2 linked regions of the Canis lupus familiaris genome follow. The protein of the gene in region 1 interacts with the protein of each later gene in a biochemical or structural test. Links are inferred from orthologs where the notes say so. Each region holds a gene or a part of one and is shown in the gene's direction. Other genes may lie near its edges.

Evidence for each region.
Region 2: the proteins of BMPR1B (region 1) and GDF5 interact in a biophysical measurement, tested with the Homo sapiens proteins (3 studies listed by BioGRID and IntAct, with this or other methods). The link is inferred for Canis lupus familiaris from reciprocal best matches to the Homo sapiens genes BMPR1B and GDF5.

What each region holds. Positions count from the first base shown.
Region 1 is NC_049253.1:21,945,393-21,951,251, reverse strand, and holds part of BMPR1B (bone morphogenetic protein receptor type-1B), read left to right. Parts: intron 1-1,613; coding exon 1,614-1,789; intron 1,790-5,639; coding exon 5,640-5,770; intron 5,771-5,859. UniProt on the Homo sapiens protein: On ligand binding, forms a receptor complex consisting of two type II and two type I transmembrane serine/threonine kinases.
Region 2 is NC_049245.1:24,907,085-24,911,629, reverse strand, and holds the end of GDF5 (growth/differentiation factor 5), read left to right. Parts: intron 1-1,406; coding exon 1,407-2,281; 3' UTR 2,282-2,730; downstream 2,731-4,545. UniProt on the Homo sapiens protein: Growth factor involved in bone and cartilage formation. During cartilage development regulates differentiation of chondrogenic tissue through two pathways.

The sequences.
Region 1 (5,859 bases):
TATGCAAATGACATTTTTCTATTGTATTGTACTGGTAAATACTACGAATTCACATTTTTCTAGAAAATGAGCCTCTCAGAGCCCAGAACATTAGGCCTACATTTACAGATTAAGGCTTATTTATCAATTTATTTTCATTTTTAAAAATTTATACTTTCAAGTTTTAGTAAAAAATAAATAAATAAATAAATAAATAAATAAATAAATAAATAAAACAGACTTCTTCAGAGTAGTTGGTCCTGGAGGATCCTGAGGGACCTAATAAGAATACTGGTGTCCCGTCTGTTTCTAGATTGAGGGTTTTAGCTGCAAATGAATTTAAAATGGTTCTAAGAATGAAGCGTTCGATCTTTTAGTAAATGTTAGCAGTTTGAAGATCTGCAGAGAGACAGCTTGCCATCCTTTAAATTTTCCCAAGTGACACTACATCTCTTATGCTTCAGAAACTAGAAATTGAGGCAATAAGATCAAACACAGAGATTCTGTTCAAAAGCCAGTAGTGTTTAGGAAAGTTTGGTATTGTCTGTGACACAGCCTGATAAATGTGCTATCTGATATATTTTCCCTTCTTCGTGGAGGGGAAATAACATGTAAATGCTTGAGAGTCCAGGGAGTGTGATGCAAAGAAAAAACATTCTTAGGAATCAGGAGCTAGCGAGGTTCTTCCATAGTTCCCCACAAACTTTGGTTAATAATGACTTTTTGTCCCTTTTCTGTTTGATAGTTTCTTCATCAAAACTGGGACTTAACTGCTCTTTTTAGTACCACTAGCTTCTCTTGTGGTAATTCTAGTGAAACCTCCAATAGAGGCTCCACGTTGTGCTGGCAGCAATTTTACACGCACCATCTTGTTTAATTGTCAACCTATTAAGCGACAGTAGCTCCACTACATCAGCATCTCTGGGCAGATCTCTGGTTGCAGCTGCCTGTGCAGAGGCATGGCTCCCCAGGGGCCACACTGCACATTGAGGCCCTCCCGTCACGGACATTCTCCCAGGAGATGGGGAATAATAAATGGATCATGTTCTGAAACTTTCATGTAGCTGCTGGGATTATTTTCAGTTATTCCCTTTGTCCTCTTATTAAATAATACATGTTATGTGGTGGATGAAATGGTGCTCAGAGAAAGCTTTGTTATAGATCCTACTTATTGAAATAAAACATTTTCCTCTCTTTGTTGGCCCTCTTTTCCCCCATTGTTTGAACTTGCTCATACATCAAAAAAACCCTGCAACACTTGATTTAAAAAATACCATCTTAAACAAACCACCTTGGCATGTCCTCATGCCAGTTTTAAGAGCCAAGCTATTGAAATGTGAAGGGGAAGAAGGTGTTTCATAGACATTTAATAGGTACCTAGCAATGATTTAGAGTTTACGATTGATCCAGTGTCAATGCAGCCTTGTATGTTGCAGAGTCCCTTTGCCCTCTTCCCTGGGTTTTTACCCGTGCATACGTAATGTAACTGTTGGCAAGAGATATTTTGCAGGGAAATGTTATTCCCTGAAAAGATATCCCTTCCTCCCTTTACCTAAAACCCTGGCTCGGAAATCACTTCGATTTGTCGTGTGTTGAACCTTTTCATTGCCTATAGTGCTTTGCTTTTTCCTCAGTGATACAAATGAAGTTGACATACCACCCAACACCCGAGTTGGCACCAAACGCTATATGCCTCCGGAAGTGTTGGATGAGAGCTTAAACAGAAATCACTTTCAGTCTTACATTATGGCCGACATGTATAGTTTTGGACTCATCCTCTGGGAGGTCGCTAGGAGATGTGTATCCGGAGGTAAGTAACCATGATACTGTGGGATCTACTACAGATCCTTGCTTCCTGATCAGAAATCAGTGTCCACAACATCAGATTTTCTTTTATTTTCTACCTTATTTCTGTTGATGCAATCACAGTCCTCCCAGGAAACAGTATTTAACAACTTAGAATTATCTTTGCTTCCTTCTGGCTGCTTCTCACCAACCTGCTGGGCCCTATCCCCAGCTCTGATGCCCCACTCACTGTGGCTTCCTCTCTGCAGATTAAGATAGAGCCAGAATTGTGGGGTGAGATACCCATTCTTTACCCTCTGCTCCACTTGACTTTCTGTATTTCTTCTTCACAAGTAGTTTGAAACATCAGGTGTTTTTTTTTTTTTTTTTTTTCAAAAGGAAATGAAAGCATCAAGAATATTACCACTGGTCATGATAATTTTCTTGCAAACAAGGATTTCCTAGTAAGACTACATCAGAAGATATTAAATATTCAGAGGCATTATTATTGCTCATAGTATTTGTTTACTGCTGCATCATCTGTCTTTAAATAGATGCCAACAGTTTTTAGGTGAGAAGCTGAATCTTAGGCCTTCAGCGTCAAGTACCCTGTTTATGGTTATACTCATGGCAGTGCTTGGCTAGAACCCACACTGCTGCTGCTGCTGCTGTTTATCATGGCCAGTTTAAACTCACTTTTGTGAAATATTGAGCTTGCCCAAGGTTCTGAAAGCTTAGCGACTGCATTCTTGGACCTGCCATTTATTATCCATGAACCTCTGACAAGTTACTCAGCTTTGTTCTAATTCTTAAGAAGGAGGTGGATTAAAGAGAATTAAAACTTCCTGGTACATAAATAGCATTCAGTATATCTTAGCTCTTACTTAAAATTTTCATTTTGGTTGGTAGAGGCTTAACTTATATTTAGATTCATACTTATATAGGGAGGAGAGACAGTTAATCAACAGGAATTTATACTCAGATCATGCTGCAATGACACAATGCCTTCTAATCACTTGGGGAACTCTGAGCCTATTCTAAGCTTAATTTAAAATAGAACACATTTCCTCTAAAGTGAGAGAACTCCAAAAGGAAAGTTAACATGAGAAATGTTTCCTAACCAGATAGCGAATAAATCTTCCATCATCTATGAAGAAGAAAAGAGCTAACCAAGATATAAATTAACTAATTGTGCCTTGTTTCATGTTTTGTCAAGAGGGAATGAGCCTAGTTTTGAATAATATGCTCACTTACACTCATGATAAGTGTATAGCAGTTGAAGGAGTAGTGGAGTGCAAGATTACTTTTCTGATTATGTTTTCCTGAACACCTAAAGCAAATAGGGCCACAAGATACCTATATTTGGAAAGCCTGCAGGTCAGAATACAGGAGAAATGATTCTTCACTCAAAAACAAGCCAACCTCAGACACACACACACACACACACACACACACACACACACACACACACACACAGGATTTGAGAGGTACTAAGGTGTTGCCTTATCTCCTTATGAGATTGGTATGTGTTTGTCAGAGATGTTAGAGTCCCAGCTCTGCCCCATACCAACTGTATGGCCTTGGACAAGTGAGTGAATCCCTCAGAACCAGGTTATTCTCATCTGGATAACATGGATAATAATGCTGTCTCAGAAACATGTTTATAAGAATTTAGTAAGATAAGTTGTACAGTACACTTACCGCCTTGCCTGGTATGTACCAGGCTCCTAACAAGCAAGTGTGGTTTCTCTTTCCAGAAAGGCAAAATACACAAAATTCTATTCTCCAACATATTCCTTTATGAAGATGTTGGAAGTTTTGGGCTTGTCTTTCTAGTCTAGGTACTTTTGGATGAAGTAGTTACATCTGGATGTAGATCTTCTAAACTTCGAGGGAAAAAAAAAAAAGGATTCCTGAGGTTTCAGACAACAATTAAATGGCAGCCACTATGGGAATTTTGATAACTTAATGCATAATAAGGAGAAAGAAGTAAGGTCTATAGTTTAGTGATAGATTTTGATTAATTCAGAACTTTATGTGATTGGCTCTGTGTCTGTTGTAATGTATACACCCACCCCACCATGATATATCAATTTAGCCAGGTAATGGCACCAACAGTAGGCACTGAGGAAAATATGAGAGGAATAAATTAGACATGGTCCTTGCTCTCCAGGTGTCTCCAGAGCTGTTGTCTTGAGAATTAGAAAGGGAGGAAGAACTCAAATGAAGTGAGCATCCCCCATGGGTTAGGCCCTGTGCCTTTAGTATCTCCTATAGAATCGGTACACAATGGAAGGAACTATTAACATAGATACATATAATTATGCCCTGTGGTCTCATGAGAGACAGAACAATGGTGAGTGGGAATGGTCTGAAGAAACTTTTCAGCCTTCTGGTCCTTTATATATGGGATTGAGTTTGCAAGAAAGGGTGTAATATAGACTCCAGATTTTGTCAGAGTAAACCCCAGCGAATTTAATGATGTGCTGGATAAAATCTGCCAACTTGGTAGTATCATCTTGTTCAGATAAGAAGCAATAACATTTCTATAATAGATGATTTTGGATAGGGAAGAAAGGTGCTCCAGAGAGATTGTTCAGAGTGGCATTCTATTAGGACAGATGCTGCTTATAATTATTGTGAGGAGTAGGGATCCCTGGGTGGCGCAGCGGTTTGGCGCCTGCCTTTGGCCCAGGGCGCGATCCTGGAGATCCGGGATCGAGTCCCATGTCGGGCTCCCGGTGCATGGAGCCTGCTTCTCCCTCTGCCTGTGTCTCTGCCTCTCTCTCTCTCACTGTGTGCCTATCATGAATAAATAAAAAAATTAAAAAAAAAATTATTGTGAGGAGTAAATCAGATAGGGTTGCAAAGAAGATCTAAGCAGGCTACTTTTCCAAAGGACAAAAGGAATAAGGTAGAATAGATACTAGGGAAAATGAGATGGAGTTTGTCATGATAAGGGCCATTTTCCTAAGATGACATAGACTTGTATCTCAACCTTTCTTTCAACAATACCTATTTTTTTGGGGTGGGGGGGATGCCTGTGTGGCTTAGCTGTTGAGCGTCTGCCTTCGGCTCAGGGTGTGACCTGGGGTCCCGGGATCGAGTCCCACATCGGGCACCCTGCATGGAAACTGCTTCTCCCTCTGCCTGTGTCTCTGCCTCTCTGTGTCTCTCATGATTAAATAAATAAAATCTTTTTTTTAAAAAAAAACTATTTTTTCTAATAATAATGTATTATTTGTAGAAAGTTTGGTGAAATACAGAAAATTTAATGAAGAAAATGGTAAAAGTCAGACAGCTCTTGCACCTAAAAAAATCATAGTTAATATTTTTAGGTGTGTAAAATTTTAAAATTTTAAATGTGGAAAGATGCATTCTTATGATTAAGCAGGAAAAAATGTAAATCTCACATTTTGTTCAAGTAGGATACACTGCCAAATTTATTATGAGATTCATAATCTCATATTGCAGTAATAGAAACAGTCACATATTATGCAGTATGAGTTTGGGATGTGTCTGCCAAATTTGCATTGAGATTTAATGTAGATTTTTTTTTAAAATTTGGCATACAACACGTTTTATAAAATTGGAAATAAATTTGAGATACTTGTTTTACTTAGCTTTGGGAAATTAGAAAAAAGGTTTGAAAACCTGTAATAATATGTTTCATCAGGTTTTCTATTTATATTTTTAATTAGATTAAGTGACATTTGGGCATATTTTTTTTCAAGACTTTATTTTGCAGTTTCCTAGCCTGAGCTTGAGTACTGATAGAACTTTTCTTTGAGAATAGTTTGTGTATTAGACTTTTATTTCCACCTCACAGAAAATATCGATAGTAATAATAATTTAAAAACAACCCCTATTTTCAGGTATAGTCGAAGAATACCAGCTTCCCTATCATGACCTAGTGCCCAGTGATCCTTCTTATGAGGACATGAGAGAGATCGTTTGCATCAAAAAGCTACGTCCCTCGTTCCCCAACCGATGGAGTAGTGATGAGGTAAGCTTTGACCTAACCATGTGGCTATGGCCAATTTCTAAACAGACTTTACGCTCTTTGCCAAGATTCCAGATATTCATTACAGTAAT
Region 2 (4,545 bases), on another chromosome or scaffold:
GCTTTGCTGTGTGATCTCAGTAAGTCCCTTGCCCTCTCAGGGCCTCAGTTTCTCTGTAAGTGTGAAGAGGGAGATGGATACTTATTGCTAGGATTGCTTGTAGGTCTTATGCTCTGGTTCTGGGAGTCTTGGGATTTTGGCTGGCAGGGTGGGGGAGGGGTCAGAGATGGGGAGAGGCTCCTCATTAGAGCTAGCCTGTGGGGGAATGACAGGGTGGGAGGAAGCAGAAGGCAGCAGGTCTGGCTGGGTTGGGGGAGGTGGCCTGGCTGCCTGCCCAGCCAGGGAAAGCTGTGACCCCTTGGGGGCTCATAAAATAAGTCCTTGTGCCCCCCAGCTCTAAGGGAGCTTGCAGAGGGGGAGATGGGGAGTTTAAAGGCCTAATTAGTCACCTTCTAGAGCAATGTATGAATGCTTCCCAATGGCAAATTGGTATTTAGGAAGGAGGGCATGCTGATTCGGACACACTACAGAGTTTCTCACACACATACAGCCTTATATTTATGCATACATGCTGAATCACACACACATGTACACACGTGAACACACACCTTCTTACATGTATACACAGAATCATCTTACATATACACACATATACGTACATATCCTTCAAATATTCACACAAGTGCAATCATACACACGTCACTCACTATACTTAACCTTTCATATTCACATGTAAGCCCAATCATACATACACACATGCACACACACGCACAAACTGTCATTCACACACACACTTATACACCCAGCAGGGTAAGCCCTGTACACAACAAACTCATTAGACGAGGAAGCCAGGGAAATTGAATTATAGCTTTACCTTGAACTATCTGTGTTAACTTACACAAGTCACTTCCCCTCTCCATGCCTCACTTGTAAAACGAGAACACCAAGATCTTCCTTGAGGTATAGTGGGAGCAGCTCAGGACTGGGTATAAAAAGCTCTAGACTAGAGTTTCAACTCTGCTTTTTTTCCTAGCTGGGTGATCTTGGGCAAGTCACCAAACTTCTCTGAGCCTCAGGTTGCTCCTCCGGAAAAATAGAGCTAATTATAATACCCACCCCACCTATCTCTCCAAGGAGATATCATATAAGATAACAGATGGGGAGGGATAGCTAGAGGCAGTTTTAAGGCTGATGCATCTCTGACATGCATTGTCATTGACAAAACACCTGGAATTGTTCAAATCACCACACCACATCTACGGATAAACAACTCTACTTGGTCTGCTGTTTAGGAAGGCTCCCCTATGTTGAAAAAGGCTCTCAGTGGTTTGGGTCTTGGCCTCTGTCAGAGTAGGGGAGAGGTTAAAGAAAGCTGTCTCCAGAGGGGAGAGAGCTATGGCCCTCCCCTGAGGGGACTGGCTGTCTTGGTGAGGTTGCAGGGAATGACTTCTGGGTGTTTTCTCTAGATGACCGAGGTCCTGTGGTCAGAAAGCAGAGGTACGTGTTTGACATTAGTGCCCTGGAGAAGGATGGGCTGCTAGGGGCCGAGCTGCGGATCTTGCGGAAGAAGCCCTCGGACACGGCCAAGCCAGTGGCCCCCAGCATCGGGCGGGCTGCCCAGCTGAAGCTGTCCAGCTGCCCCAGCGGCCGGCAGCCGGCAGCCCTGCTGGATGTGCGCTCCGTGCCAGGCCTGGACGGATCTGGCTGGGAGGTGTTCGACATCTGGAAGCTCTTCCGAAACTTTAAGAACTCGGCCCAGCTGTGCCTGGAGCTGGAGGCCTGGGAACGGGGCCGGGCCGTGGACCTCCGTGGCCTGGGTTTTGACCGGGCTGCCAGGCAGGTCCACGAGAAGGCCCTGTTCCTGGTATTTGGCCGCACCAAGAAACGGGACCTGTTCTTTAATGAGATTAAGGCCCGATCAGGTCAAGATGATAAGACTGTGTATGAGTACCTGTTCAGCCAGCGGCGAAAAAGGCGGGCCCCACTGGCCACGCGCCAGGGCAAACGGCCCAGCAAGAACCCCAAGGCCCGCTGCAGTCGGAAGGCACTGCATGTCAACTTCAAAGACATGGGTTGGGATGACTGGATCATTGCACCCCTTGAATACGAGGCCTTCCACTGTGAGGGGCTATGTGAGTTCCCCTTGCGCTCCCACCTGGAGCCCACAAACCACGCAGTCATCCAGACCCTGATGAACTCCATGGACCCTGAGTCCACACCACCAACCTGCTGTGTGCCCACACGACTGAGTCCCATCAGCATCCTCTTCATTGACTCCGCCAACAACGTGGTCTATAAGCAATATGAGGACATGGTTGTGGAGTCTTGTGGCTGCAGGTAGCAGCACTGGCCCTCCATCTTCCTGGGGGGCACATCCCAGGATGCCGGTCACAAGAGCCCTACCCTACACTCCCAGGAGCAAAGAGGTTGGGAAGCAGCAGCCAAAAGCACCTACACAGCCTGTGTGGAAGGAGGGGTTCCAACAGCCTTGCTCTTAATTTCTGAGTGGGACTGGGTTTGAGGTTCCTTTCTATCCACAAGTCCCCTTGTCTGAGGATTTCTGCCCTTCTGCTGCCCTGATCCAGGAAGACAGACTTGAATGGGACTAAGACCCAGGAGACCTTGCTTTCCAAAGAGACTCAGCCCTCAACCTCTCCTTACCTGGGGCTTTCTTGGCTTCTGGACTCTCCGGGGAGGGCTCCTCTTGGAAGAGCCACAGGTGCCACCCTCTCCTTGAATCACCGTTGTGCCTGGCAATTTCCTGCCCCTGGGCAGATGTGATGCTGATTGGGCGGGGGTGGGCAAGAGGGGGTGAGGGCTTGGGCTGGGGTAAGGAGTATGAGGCTGTTAGACTGTTAGATTAAAATGTACATTGATGAGATAAAAAGCAAAACTGTTACTAAAACTGTGGCAAATTTCTTGTTTACTCCAGGAGACCCAGTGACCCCTCAAAGAATGAGGGACCCAGGGAAGGGAGGTGGGTTGCCTGCAGGAAAACGGGACAGAGAGTACAGGCTGAGCAGGGCCAACGTTACCTCTAACCCCATTCCCTTCCTTCCAAAGGCCTGTTGGTCTGGAGCTACATCTGCTCTTCTGGGGCCTGGCAACAGACTTAGGTTTTCTTCTTGACATTCCTGAGTCAAACTGTTGCCTCCAAAATGGATCCCTACATGGGAGGGAAATTGGGGATTTCATTTCCTCTAAAATCATTCCCACTTCATCTACCTATCTGTGCCCCACCTCCCTGCCTACTCACAGAGTCAAATGGCCACCATTTAGAGGGCTCTCTACCTTTTAGTGGGGAACCTGGGCTGGCAGGGATCTGCTCCTCTCCTGTTGGGGCATCTTCCTTTTGCCACTGATCAGTGTTCCTTGTGTGATCTTGTCTGTGGCCCTGTTACCCTTCAGTTTGGCACCTTTACCACTCCTCTCCCAGCTCATCCATCACCTCCTAACCATCACCCCGGCTCCAGAAACAGAGTATAAGTCCCTCCTCTTTACATTATATATTATACAAATACGTAACTATATATTAGATAAGTAACTTCCCCACTAACCTTAGACAGACAAATGCCAGACATATCCTGACAATGTTTCCTGCTTGGGGTTTGGCCCAGAGTAAATGCCCACTTCCCTTTATCCACTAGACTCCTTAGCGGGGGCATGAGGCATGAATGCTCGGGAGGGGAACGAAGCCCTCTGGTAGAGAAATGTGGGCACCTAAGTTTTTGTTCTAAGGACTCAGGATGAAGAGAGGGAGGACCAGGAGAAGGCAGTCTAGGCCTCTGCTTCCCACCCAGGGGGCCTCAACATTTTCCCCACCTCTCTCCAGCTGGGTCTCTGATTCCCAGGGCTCCTAGCCAAAGCTGTTTCAACAGTAGGGATTCCTGCCCAGCTATGGGCAGATCTTGTGTCCCTTCCCTCTCGGCCTGAAACCTGGGTTGTCAGAATCTGAAACAAGAACCCAGTGCAGGGGGCAGCCTACCTTTGAGCTGCCTCCCTGGCTTGGAGGCCATTACCTGTCCCTAGGGGCCAGTCTGCACCTGGAGCCTAGCCCTCCCTGGCCAGGCTTCGTTGTGTTTGGCTGGTGGCAGCCCTGCGAGCTCTGGCAGTAAACAAAGGAGCTGCCACAGCAGACAGAGTTCTGGTGTGAGTGAGGAGAGTGAGCCTGGAGGCAGTGCTGGGGAAGCCAACCAGTGGCCTGCGGACACAGGGAGAGCAGTGTAGAAGCAGGGTGGCTGGAAACTCAAAGGTAGAGAGGCAGAGGATGAAGGGGTTACAGGTGGGGCTGGCTTCTACACCCACTGATTTTCTGGGCTATGTGTCCTTACTTTCTTGGAAAGTCTGACAGACTGGAGTGGCACCCTGCCTGAGCCCTGTCAGAGGGCTTCCTGTCATCTCAGCCCCTGTGCTCTTCCTGCTGAAGGCCTGGGCACCAAATTGACTGTTGTGGTCTGGCTTGGTACCTAGGAGCTTTGTCTCCTACCTCAACCTGCCCTAGAACTTGCTTTCACAAAAGAGCCACTCAGACTGTGTGCCCTCCCCCTTTCCTCCCCAGACTATAGGGATCCAATCAGGTCCCTGTGGGAAACAGCTCTTCTATCC